Linked DNA regions of Oryctolagus cuniculus. The protein of the gene in region 3 purifies or fractionates together with the protein of the main gene of each other region. This does not show direct contact. Links are inferred from orthologs where the notes say so. Each region holds a gene or a part of one and is shown on either strand. Other genes may lie near its edges. The genes, in order: ANKRD44, PPP6C and PPP6R1.

Region 1 (3,508 bases), on a different chromosome or scaffold from region 3:
ATGAGCCATGTTGGGGATGGAGCAGGGTACATGCTGGGTAAATGGGGCTGCAGAAACAAAACTACTAAGAGTTAGCTACTGATGGCAATATGGCTGCTTACTTCTGAGAAATAGGCATGAGCTGCTAATTCCAATACCTGTAATAAGCAGTTAATTGAGTTATATTAATACATTATAATGCTTTAATTAAATGCCACAATTAATGCCACATTTTTAAAAATCACTTAATTCATAAATATCCAGAAGTTCCTCTTTTGCTCCCCAAGGTTAATTAATAGGTGTTATGCTTAAATGGTAGCTTAGTACAATTCTAGGATTCATTAGTTTTCAAAATTTCTTAGGAAGCAGAGTAGAAAGCTTCTGTTAAGAATCAGCTCGTTTAGAAAAGAAGCATTATATAGATCAGGAGAAGCTTTCAAGCCTGGACACTAATTAAAATTTTTATTCATGTTCCCTAAATTTCCATACTGGGAATATGAGTTCTGATCTGGACTTTAAAAAAATGGTTTGATCTCAGAATGAATTGAAATACAATCAAAAACCTAGGTTTTTATCTGAGCCCTTGAGCATGCACTAATGACATGTGTAATCCCTAACTCTTCAGTGTATGCAGTTAGAATTCTGAATGCCAAGTTGGAAGTTTTTTTTATTTTAGTGAGTCTAAATGATTTTAACCACCACGCTGAGGAGTTAGAGACCAACTGCTGACACATGCAGAATGGATAGCACTGGTGGGCTATAGGTGGACCATGTGTTTTACAAAATGACAGACAGGACAAATTAACCTTGCTGGACTTCTCACACACATGGGACTTTCAAGAGGGAGAGAATTATTACTGCCTGTTCATAAGCTCCAACCTCTCTCATTTTCCTCTGGCTTCCATCGGCATATGGAAGACACAGGCAGTAATGTTTATTTTTTCCACTTACCATTTTCATCTACAGCAAGCACACAGGCTCCTTTGGCCAGCAACTCCTCGACTACCACCTTCAAGCCATTGCGTGCAGCAATGTGGAGGGGTCTAAAAAACACAGCATCAAGCATCACCTGGGACACATATTTGTGTGATATTGGGGCATTCTAGTTAGCCTATCCCACTAAAAGGAAGACTTAACAAGATATTTATACATACACTGCATCTCAATCCCAATGTCAGTAACAAGGAAGATAGAGAAAGAACACAGAACACACTGTATCGGGTTCTTGCTTGATTTCTGCCATAGCCTTGAATCATTGTGGCACACAGGACAGGCATAGACATTATCCATATATGTGCAGGTACTTAAAAAGTTCATGCAACAATAGAATTAAAAGACAAGCTTTTTTTTAACGTTTGAAAATTATTTGAGAAGTAGAGGAGAGAGGAAGAGACAGAGACTGACTCCCATCCATTTGTTCACTCTCCACATGCTCACAGCAGCCAGAGCTGGGGACAAATTCAAGAGCCAGGAACACAGTCTTGGTCTCCCACATGGGTGGCAGGAACCCAAATGCTTGAGCCATCACTGCTGTCTGCCAGCCTCCATGCTACCAGGAGTTAAGAGATTCAGCCAGGAATGGAACCCAGGCACTTTCATAATCATTAAACATTTGCTCTAATAAGCTTATTTTGGTACAAAAAAAAGTTAGAATATATGCACAGTTTTAAAATAACACACATATTCCATGAACTTTTTGAAGTACCCTTGTATATAATCTCAAATCTTATTATTACTAAAAGTACACAGATGTTTTACTGAATTCATAATACCTTAAAAAATAATGTTAACCTCTGCATACAGCACTATGTACTACCTAAGAATCTTAAATGGAAAAATAAATTCCTAATTGTCCTTTGTCTTTAAAACAAATGCATAAATAACTTTCTAGAATGGAAAATAAATCAGGTTTGAGATCTTTCACACCAAGGGTTACACTGAATCATATTAAAATATAATTGAGACAGGCCGGCGCCGCGGCTCACTAGACTAATCCTCCGCCTTGCGGCGCCGGCACACTGGGTTCTAGTCCCGGTCGGGGCGCCGGATTCTGTCCCGGTTGCCCCTCTTCCAGGCCAGCTCTCTGCTGTGGCCAGGGAGTGCAGTGGAGGATGGCCCAAGTGCTTGGGCCCTGCACCCCATGGGAGACCAGGAGAAGCACCTGGCTCCTGGCTTTGGATCAGCGTGATGCGCTGGCCGCAGCGCGCCAGCCGCGGTGGCCACTGGAGGGTGAACCAACGGCAAAGGAAGACCTTTCTCTCTGTCTCTCTCTCACTATCCACTCTGCCTGTCAAAAAGAAAAAAATATATATATGTATATATATATATATATATATAATTGAGACAAATAGCTTAGAAACTCTTCAAATGTATTCTGGGAACCTGATTTATAAAACTGTCATTTTCCAGTTAGAATACATAATGCTAATATATAATACTAATGTGTCCATAAGCCTATATGATTTTTCTAACAGTCTGCTAAAATTATATTACTATAGAAGTATCAGCAAAGAAAAACACAGACCTTAAAAAATGCTATGGCAGCGTATCAAAAAGAGGACTCTAAGCAAAACTGCCTAGCCAGGTAAACAACTGTGGGTGGGCAACGGTCAGCATCATGGAGAAAAATCCAGGTCTGCCTTTCTCACTGCTGTGCTCCCCTATGCTAGCCTGACACACAGCAGGCTCCTAATACTTCTCGAAACAATAACTATGACTCTGGGTTCAAGTAAGACTTTAAAAGTTACTTACGGCTGGTGCCACAGCTCAATAGGCTAAACCTCTGCCTTGCAGCACCGGCACACCGGGTTCTAGTCCCAGTCGGGGTGCCAGATTCTGTCCCGGTTGCCACTCTTCCAGGTCAGCTCTCTGCTGTGGCCCGGGAGTGCAGTGGAGGATGGCCCAAGTGCTTGGGCCCTGCACCCCATGGGAGACCAGGAGAACCACCTGGCTCCTGCCTTTGGATCAGCGCGGTGCGCCGGCCGCAGAGCACCAGTCATGGCGGCCATTGGAGGGTTAACCAACAGAAAAGGAAGACCTTTCTCTCTGTCTCTCTCTCTCACTGTCCACTCTGTCAAAAAAAATTTTTAAAAATAAGTAAATAAAGCCGGCGCCGCGGCTCACTAGGCTAATCCTCCACCTAGTGGCGCCGGCACACCGGGTTCTAGTCCCGGTTGGGGTGCCAGATTCTGTCCCGGTTGCCCCTCTTCCAGGCCAGCCCTCTGCTGTGGCCAGGGAGTGCAGTGGAGGATGACCCAGGTGCTTGGGCCCTGCACCCCATGGGAGACCAGGAAAAGCTCCTGCCATCCGATCAGCGCTGTGCGCCGGCCGCAGCGCGCCAGCCGCTGCGGCCATTGGAGGGTGAACCAACGGCAAAGGAAGACCTTTCTCTCTGTCTCTCTCTCTCACTGTTCACTCTGCCTGTCAAAAATAAATAAATAAATAAATAAATAAATAAAGTTAAGCTGGCTTTAAAAAAAAATAAGTAAATAAAAGTTACTTACGTGTGCAGTGCATTATTTTTTGCATT
Region 2 (3,937 bases), on a different chromosome or scaffold from region 3:
CTCACTGTCTCTCTCTCTCCTTCTGTGTGTGACTGTGACTTTCAAATAAATAAATCCTTAAAAAACAAAACAAAAAAACACAGTATTCTTCTCCTTTTCTCTCTGATCTCTCCTACTCCTCTCACTTCTGCTCCAACCACACAAATCTTGCTGTTTCCCGAAGACTTTAGATAGGCGTCCACCTCAGGGCCTCCGCACCAGCTCCTCCCTATCATATCCCTCAGGTAGCTGCATGGGCAACTCCCCCACTTCTTAGATGGCTTTCAAAGTTCATGTCCTTACTCTGCCGCGTTGTTCCCCTAGCACACGTCACTTTCTCAAACGCTATGCATTGATGGCAGCGTGGTGTCTTCCCGTCCTAGCTGTCAACCACAGGCTGTGGACGCCCGTCTTTGTCTACTGTGTTGACTGCGTATCCCAAGCGCCTGCAGTTGTACCTGGCCCATGGCTGGTGTTTGGTAAACAGCTGCGGAATGACGAATGCCTCAATGAATGCTGAAGGCCTACTCAGTGCCAGGTGATCTTACTCGGTTGGGGACACAACATTAAACTCCCTCCCTCGTGGGACTCCCACGGAGGTCTGCTTAAGCCAGCTGACCTGTTTTCCAATGTTGACTCTACCGTTCGTTTCCGGTGACATGTGGGGCAAGTTACGTAGGGTCTCCAAGCCTTACCTTCCCAGCAATCATGAGAATTAATGGGGGAAGGGGAGTGGGGCGGGGAAGAAAACACAGAATAAAAGAACCCTTGCGGCATCCGGTACAAGAAACGCTTTGACATTTCCTTTCTCATCCTCAAGACCAGACGACTGGGAGTTCGGCTTCTCCGCCACAGGTTTAACCGAGGTTTTTGCAAAACCTTGGAAAGGCGCAACCAGGCTACTACGGGCAGGCTTACCCAATTTCTAACTGAGGATGTCCTGTTGAGAGAGGGCCTAAAAGGGTCGCAACGAGAAGCCACAGAACGCTCAGGTCACCTACTTCGCCGTTTTGCCTCCGATAAGCCTTGCCGGGTCTCCAGGGGTGAAGTACCGGGAAGAGGAGGAAAAAGAGAAGCCGGCTCCAACTGAAAACTACAAATCCCAGCAACCCCCGCGGCAGGCAACTACGGGTCCCAGCAGGTTTCGCGGGCGGAATTGAGGGGACCTCTTCGGGCTGCAGCCTGGGATCAGTCAGCGAGGGCGCGGGACGTGCGGGGGCGGCGCGGAGAATCCGGTCAAGCTTTAACGTCGCTGCGCAGACGCCACTCACGGGCCGGACGTGACGTAGGGAGAGTTCCGGCTTCGGCCTCCGCCGCTGCCGCCGCTAGTACCGTCGCCGCCGCCGCCGCCGCCGCCGCGGCTTGTTCCTCCTAAAATGGCGCCGCTAGACCTGGACAAGTATGTGGAGATAGCGCGGCTGTGCAAGTACCTGCCAGAAAACGACCTGAAGGTGAGCCCGGCCGGGGCGGGAGTGCCGCTTGCGGGGCTCGCCCCTTCCGGCTGTGGGGCGCCCGCCGGTCCGCCCTTCCTCTCTCCGCGGGACCCCTGCCGGGTGTCCAGTCCTGTCGCGGTGGAGAGCCCTCCGCGGTGGGAGGCGACCCTCGGGCTCGGCGTCACGCGGGGAGACGGGAGAGCCCGAGTGCCCGGATGCTGTCCTGGCTTCCCCCGCCGGGGATCCCGAGGGCTGTCGCGGGCTCTCCTCCGGGGTCGCCCCTCCTGGCCTGCGGGCTGCCCCTGGACGCGGAGCCGTTACAGCTTCGCCGGGAAGACCCCGCTCTTCCCCAGCCGCAGCGCCGAGCCCCGGAGCCGGAGTCGAGCCCCAGCGGGTGGTGCTCCCCGGAGGTGACAGGAGCGCGGGTGGCCGGCTCCCGGGGTCGCTGAGGTCCGGCGGGGCGGCGGGGCCCGAGCGGAGTAAGAGGACGTCGTGTCCCTCCGTACGCCGCTCCACATTGCTCCTTGGGCGTGCTGGCTCTCGTGCCAATTCAGCTGGGAATCCCGGTCTGTGGCGGTGTTGGGTAAAGTGTGCAGATACCAGTAGCTTGCTCGCCTGGAAGTCGTGCCCCCGAAACCCACTTCTTGGCTTTTTGGAAGAAGGTGACTTTTTGCTTGTTATTGCCCGAGTGGTGGGATTGTGTGTGTGGGTGCAGGAGTCGGGGTCGGATAATTTTGGAAAAGCGTTTCTGTGCTTTGTTGAAACCAGTGCTTGGGTTTCCAGCAGCGGTTACCCGCTAGTGCCGGTGTCTCATTTGTTCTGTTAACTTTGATGGGCTCTGTGCTAAGTGGGTAAGCTGTAAACGGTTCGAGTGCTTTTCATGCTTTCATTAAGCCGTGGGTTGTAAAGTTACAAAAGTAGATGTGACCGTGTTTGTGTTTTTGCTATATCCTTTGGTACCGGAAGTTGATATTTAACCTCACTCAACAAGTATGCAAAATTTTTCAGGTTCCCTGGCCTGATGTGAATATAAATGAATTGTATGTGCTTATGCTGGGATAATCACTCTCGTCCCCCCCCCCCCCATTTTTAATAGGATAGCTTCACTAAGGACAGCTTTTATTAATGGTAGTGTAGTGTTTCTGCTCCCAGTGCTTCAGACGCGTGCTGTGTAGCCAGCATTGGGAACCCGTTCATGGAGAACTGGCCAGGCCTCTGCTGGTAGCATTGTTCATCTTTTTGGTGAATTCATTGCATGTTAATGAATCGATGTGGAATTCTGTTTTCATTTGTTATGTTTAAAGCCGTTTTGTACTTTGTGATTTCAGTTTCAGAAAATATGTCTTGATATTACCTTGAGGTGGGACACAAATTACTTGAAAAACAGTTGGATTTTCTTTAGATCTCTTAGTCTGCTAAACGTTATCTGAAGGAAGTAATTATTAAACCATTTTATTTCCTGTTGAAACATAGTTGGACTGTATTTATTTGCATCTGATTCTTAATAAACTTTATATCTTCTGAGCAACTACTTAAATTCTGGATTTTTCTCTGTTAGAGACTTCTGTTTTGGAAAATTTTTTTTTTCTTTCTTTTTTTTTTTTTGACAGGCAGAGTGGACAGTGAGAGAGAGAGACAGAGAGAAAGGTCTTCCTTTTGCCGTTGGTTCACCCTCCAACCCTCCAATGGCCGCCACGGCTGGTGCGCTGTGGCCGGCGCATCACGCTGATCCGAAGCCAGGAGCCAGGTGCTTTTCCTGGTCTCCCGTGCGGGTGCAGGGCCCAAGCACTTGGGCCATCCTCCACTGCACTCCCGGGCCATGCAGAGAGCTGGCCTGGAAGGGGGGCAACCGGGACAGAATCCGGCACCCCAACTGGGACTAGAACCCGGTGTGCCGGTGCCGCAAGGCGGAGGATTAACCTAGTGAGCCGCGGCGCCGGCACCTCCAGAGTATTTAAAGAAATTTAATTTATGTTTCTTTTTCTTGGCATGAAGTACAAACTAAAAATAGGCAGACCAAAAAATACTCTAGGAGCACCTTTGATGCTTTCAAGTCAGTAGAAAATATTCTGTTAGAGGATGGAAAGAATTAATTGGGGCCACTTAATGAACATGATGGAAGAGACTTGTTTGGGTAGAAAGGAAAGTAAATTTTTATTTGTATTTTAAGTTTATTAGAAGTTAGAGGTGCAACATTAAATAATAAATACATAGGATGTTCAGGTGTGATAACAAGTTCTTTATAACTGAATTTGAAATGGTCAAAATACTAGTACCAGGTCGAATCTGCCTGTTTTGAGGGAATAAGAATAAAGTACCTGAGAGTGAGTGGACAACAGAGCTCAATAGATGGTTTAGATTTCATAAGTTGCTAAGTGAAAGAAGGAGTGATAAAAGTCTAGTTTGGTGCTCGCTTTGGCAGCACATATACTAAAAGTCTAGTTTGCTGAATATGTAAGTACTTTTGGAGGAGAGAGTCTATAACTTGAAGGTTGTCTGAATTTTTAGAAAATTTTTTTTTCAAG
Region 3 (4,263 bases):
ACTTTCTACACATATCCTGGGGCCGGTGCTGTGGCCCAGCGGCTTAACACCCTGGCCTGAAGCGCCGGCATCCCAAATGGGCACCAGTTCAAGTCCCAGCTGCTCCTCTTCCAACCCAGCTCTCTGCTGTGGCCTAAGCAGTGAAGATGGCCCAAGTCCTTGGGCCCCTGCACCTGCGTGGGAGACCTGGAAGAAGCTCCTGGCCCCCGGCTTCGGATCCGCCCAGCTCCGGCCATTGTGGCCATCTGGGGAGTGAAGCAGCACATGGAAGACCTCTCTCTGTCTCTACCGCTCTCTCTAACTCTGTCAAATAAATAAAATAAACACATATCCTACAGCTCTGCTTCCTCTGGGGAGACATCACCTGCTCCAAGCTGCAAACAACAGGTACCCAAGTCCACTTTTTTAAAGATTTAATTATTTACTTGAAGGTCAGAGTTACAGAGAGAGAAGAGGCAGAGAGACAGAGAGGTCTTCCATCCATTGGTTCACTCCCCAGATGGCCACAATGGCCGGAGCTGCGCCGATCTGAAGCCAGGAGCCAGGAGCTTCCTCCAGGTCTCCCACGCTGGTGCAGGGGCCCAAGCACTTGGGCCATCCTCCACTGCTTTCCCAGGCCACAGCAGAGAGCTGGATGGGAACAGGAGCAGCCGGGATTCGAACCGGCGTCCATATGGGATGCTGGCGCTGCAGGCCAGGGCGTTAACCCTCTGCGACACAGCCCCGGCCCCGAGTCCACTTTCTAGGAAAACCTCCAGGGGCCAGCTTTGTGGCGCAGCCGGTTAGGCTGCCGCCTGCGGCGCCCGCATCCCATCCGGGCCCTGCACCCGCGTGGGAGACTGGAGGCTCCTGATTCCTGGCTTCGGCTCGGTCCGGCCCGGCCGTCAGGGCCATCTGGGGAGCGAACCACCGATGGATGGAAGACCTCCCTCCCTCTAACTCTTTCAAATAAGGTTTATTTATTCGAAAGGCATGGTGACCGAGAGACAGGTCTTCCGTCCGCTGGTTCACTCCCCTAATGGCCGCGACACAAGGTCAAAAGAGCCCTTGCAGACCGCGGTCTTCGAGGACGCGGGGACAGGGCCTGGGGAACGCCCGGGCACGGGTCAGCCGCAGCAGGAACCGGCTGTCGCCCGAGACCCGGGCAGCAGCGACGCGCCAGGGCTTGCGGGCACCGAAGACCCCGGAGGCAGCGCGAACAAGATGTCCGTGGGCCTGCGGTGGGGACTCCGGGACGCCGCCGGCCGGGCGCGCAGCGGCGCCTGCGCACTGGCGCGTCCGCGGTCACGCCGGAGGCCGTTGGCACCAACGGGCGCAGGCGCACCTGCGGCGGTGTTCCGGGGTGGGCGGGGCTCGGGCGGGGCGGGGGAGGGCGCCGGGGCCCGGGCGCACGCGCACTCGGGGCCCAGGCGCCATGTCCCCGGCGCACCTGCGCAGCGCGACGAGCGCGGGAGGGCGGGGCCTGTGCGTCTCCTGCGCTACGGGGATTGTGGGATAGTGGCGGAGGGAGGAGGGCGTCGGAGGCCCCGAGCGGGCTGCGGGAGCCGGGGAGACCCGCGGGTGTGCGGAAGCGGGTACTGAGAGAAGCGGGGCTCGGCTTCAACACTGCGGGCCCCTCGGACGGCGGCCGAAGCCGTTACCGCCTCCAGCAGCGCGCTGGGTTGGGCGGACGAAACCGGGGCGACTTCCTCCGTCTTCCCCTGCCGAGGCGCCTGCGCGGCCCGCGCGGCCCAGCTGACCCCCGCCGCCTCGCCCGTGGGCCGCGGAGGCCCCCGCGTCCTCCTCGCGAGCCGTCCGGACCCTCCTCGGCGCTGACCGCGAACTCCGCGGGACTCGACGCTTGAGGCCGCCCGCCCCGAGGGCGCGTGCGCGGGCCCCGCCGCCCCAGCCCCGGCGCCTGCGCGCGACCCCGCCGCCGCCCCCGCCCCCACACCCCGGGCCCCGGAGCAGGGACCGGAGCCTCGGGCGGCGGGGCGGCGGGGGCGCCCCGATGAGCCCCGAGTGCGAGGAGCCGCCGCCCCCCCGCGCAGGTGAGCGCCCCGGCTCCGAGTCTGCGTCCCCGGGTCCCCTCAGCCCCTGTCGCCGCTGGCTGTCCCAGGCCGCCGCCTGTCCCGCGCGCTGTCTGCTCCCCCTCGGGCCCCAGGTCGCCGGCTCTCCCCTCAGTTCTCCCAAGCGTTTTACTCTCTCTGGCTCCCAAGTCTCTCAGCCTCTCCTCGCGGTCCCCCAAGTCTCTTAGCCGCAGTCCCCCAAGTCGCCGGCTCTCCCCTCGGCCCCCCAGGTCTCAGCCTCTCCCTCGGTCCCCCCAAGCCTCTGGGTCCTGCTCACTTTCCCGCCATCCCCTTGGTCTCTCCTCTCGGTCCCCCCAGGTCTCAGCCTCTCCCCTCGGCCCCCCAGGTCTCAGCCTCTCCCCTCGGTCCCCCCAAGTCGCCGGCCCTCCTCTCGGCCCCCCAGGTCTCAGCCTCTCCCCTCGGTCCCCCCAAGCCTCTGGGTCCTGTTCACTTTCCCGCCATCCCCTTGGTCTCTCCCCTCGGTCCCCCCAAGTCGCCGGCCCTCCTCTCGGCCCCCCAGGTCTCAGCCTCTCCCCTCGATCCCCCCTGGTCTCAGCCTCTCCCCTCGGTCCCCCCTGGTCTCTGGCCCTCCCCTCGGCCCCCCCTGGTCTCTGGCCCTCCCCTCGGCCCCCCCAAGCCTCTGGGTCTTGTTCTCTTTCCCGCCGTCCCCTTGGTCTCTCCCCTCAGTCCCCCCAGGTCTCAGCCTTTCCCCTCGGTCCCCCCAAGTTCAGCCTCTCCCCTCGGCCCCCCAGGCCTCTGGGTCCTGTTCTCTTTCCCGCCATCCCCTGGGTCTCTCCCCTCGGCCCCCCCAAGCCTCTGGGTCCTGTCCTTCCCGCCATCCTCTGGGTCTCTCCCCTCAGTCCCCCCAAGTTCAGCCTCTCCCCTCGGCCCCCCAGGCCTCTGGGTCCTGTTCTCTTTCCCGCCATCCCCTGGGTCTCTCCCCTCGGCCCCCCCAAGCCTCTGGGTCCTGTCCTTCCCGCCATCCTCTGGGTCTCTCCCCTCAGTCCCCCCAAGTTCAGCCTCTGCCCTCAGCCCCCCAAGCCTCTGGATCTTGTTCTCTTTCCTGCCGTCCCCTGGGTCTCTCCCCTCAGTCCCCCCAGGTCTCAGCCTCTCCCCTCAGTCCCCCCAGGTCTCAGCCTCTCCCCTCGGTCCCCCCAGGTCTCAGCCTTTCCCCTCGGTCCCCCCAAGTTCAGCCTCTCCCCTCAGCCCCCCAAGCCTCTGGGTCCTGTTCTCTTTCCCGCCATCACCTGGGTCTCTCCCCTCTGTCCCCCCAAGTCGCCGGCCCTCGCCTCGGTCCCCCCAAGCCTCTGGGTCCTGCTCTCTTTCCCGCCATCCCCTGGGTCTCTCCCCTCGGTCCCCCCAGGTCTCAGCCTCTCCCCTCGGTCCCTCCAAGCCTCTGGGTCCTGTCCTCCTTCCCGCCATCCTCTGGGTCTCTCCCCTCAGTCCCCCCAAGTTCAGCCTCTGCCATCGGCCCCCCCCCAGGCCTCGGGTCCTGCTCGCTCTCCTGCCGCCCCCTGGGTCTCCCCCGTCTGCCCACACTTCCCCCAGGTCCGTCTGCTCAGTCATCCACGCCGGCTCCCTGCAGCCCTGCCCGGGCCCTGCCGCCGGGGCTGCCACCTCCCCGTTCACGCCTGGTCCTTTGCCCTCCGCCCCCGCCCGACCCCACCGCTGAGGCTTAGCCCCCGCCTGGAGCCTGCCTCTGCCCGGCTGTCTCGCTTCTCACGAGGAGGGACTTGGCTCCGGGCCTGTGAGCTGTGGCGTGGGCAGGCAGCCTGTCCCGGGCTCCCAAGAGGAAGGTGTCCCCAGGCCCTGCCCTGGGGAGACAGGTGTAGCGGGACTGTCACAATTGCTGTGTTGTGATGGGTGACGCAGCGCGCAGGACTGGTGAGACTGGCCGGATGGGAGGCTGAGCGGGGGCTGACACATGGAGGGCGGCAGGAGGCTCAGCCTTCCCCCCGGGAGGAGCGGCGCGTGCAGATACGTGAAGGTGACGGCCGCCGTGTGGCGGTGCTGCCCGGGCCCTTGCCAGCCCACCGGCGCGCGCACCTGCCCGGAAGGAGGAAGGTTCTGGAAGGGAAGCCGCGTTGTCTGTCCCGTCGGTGCTGGGCTCAGAGCCGTGAGATGCTGACCACGACGGGGAGAGGTGGACGTGGCGAGGAGTAGCCGGGGGCAGGTAGCTGGGTGCTGAGCGGACAGCGCGGTGGACATGTGCGCT

What was found.
Region 1: the proteins of PPP6R1 (region 3) and ANKRD44 purify together in Homo sapiens (co-immunoprecipitation; 5 studies listed by BioGRID and IntAct, counting the BioPlex papers as one, with this or other methods). This does not show direct contact. The link is inferred for Oryctolagus cuniculus from reciprocal best matches to the Homo sapiens genes PPP6R1 and ANKRD44.
Region 2: the proteins of PPP6R1 (region 3) and PPP6C purify together in Homo sapiens (affinity purification with mass spectrometry; 11 studies listed by BioGRID and IntAct, with this or other methods). This does not show direct contact. The link is inferred for Oryctolagus cuniculus from reciprocal best matches to the Homo sapiens genes PPP6R1 and PPP6C.

The regions. Positions count from the first base shown.
Region 1 is NC_091434.1:43,296,596-43,300,103, reverse strand, and holds part of ANKRD44 (serine/threonine-protein phosphatase 6 regulatory ankyrin repeat subunit B), read right to left. Parts: coding exon 3,483-3,508; intron 1,023-3,482; coding exon 931-1,022; intron 138-930; coding exon 102-137; coding exon of another isoform or gene 76-101; exon of another isoform or gene 32-75; intron 1-31. UniProt on the Homo sapiens protein: Putative regulatory subunit of protein phosphatase 6 (PP6) that may be involved in the recognition of phosphoprotein substrates.
Region 2 is NC_091432.1:229,001,644-229,005,580, reverse strand, and holds the start of PPP6C (serine/threonine-protein phosphatase 6 catalytic subunit), read left to right. Parts: upstream 1-1,137; 5' UTR 1,138-1,355; coding exon 1,356-1,430; intron 1,431-1,501; exon of another isoform or gene 1,502-2,074; intron 2,075-3,937.
Region 3 is NC_091449.1:3,632,027-3,636,289, forward strand, and holds the start of PPP6R1 (serine/threonine-protein phosphatase 6 regulatory subunit 1), read left to right. Parts: upstream 1-1,462; 5' UTR 1,463-2,030; intron 2,031-4,013; exon of another isoform or gene 4,014-4,035; intron 4,036-4,077; exon of another isoform or gene 4,078-4,221; intron 4,222-4,263. UniProt on the Homo sapiens protein: Regulatory subunit of protein phosphatase 6 (PP6). May function as a scaffolding PP6 subunit. Involved in the PP6-mediated dephosphorylation of NFKBIE opposing its degradation in response to TNF-alpha.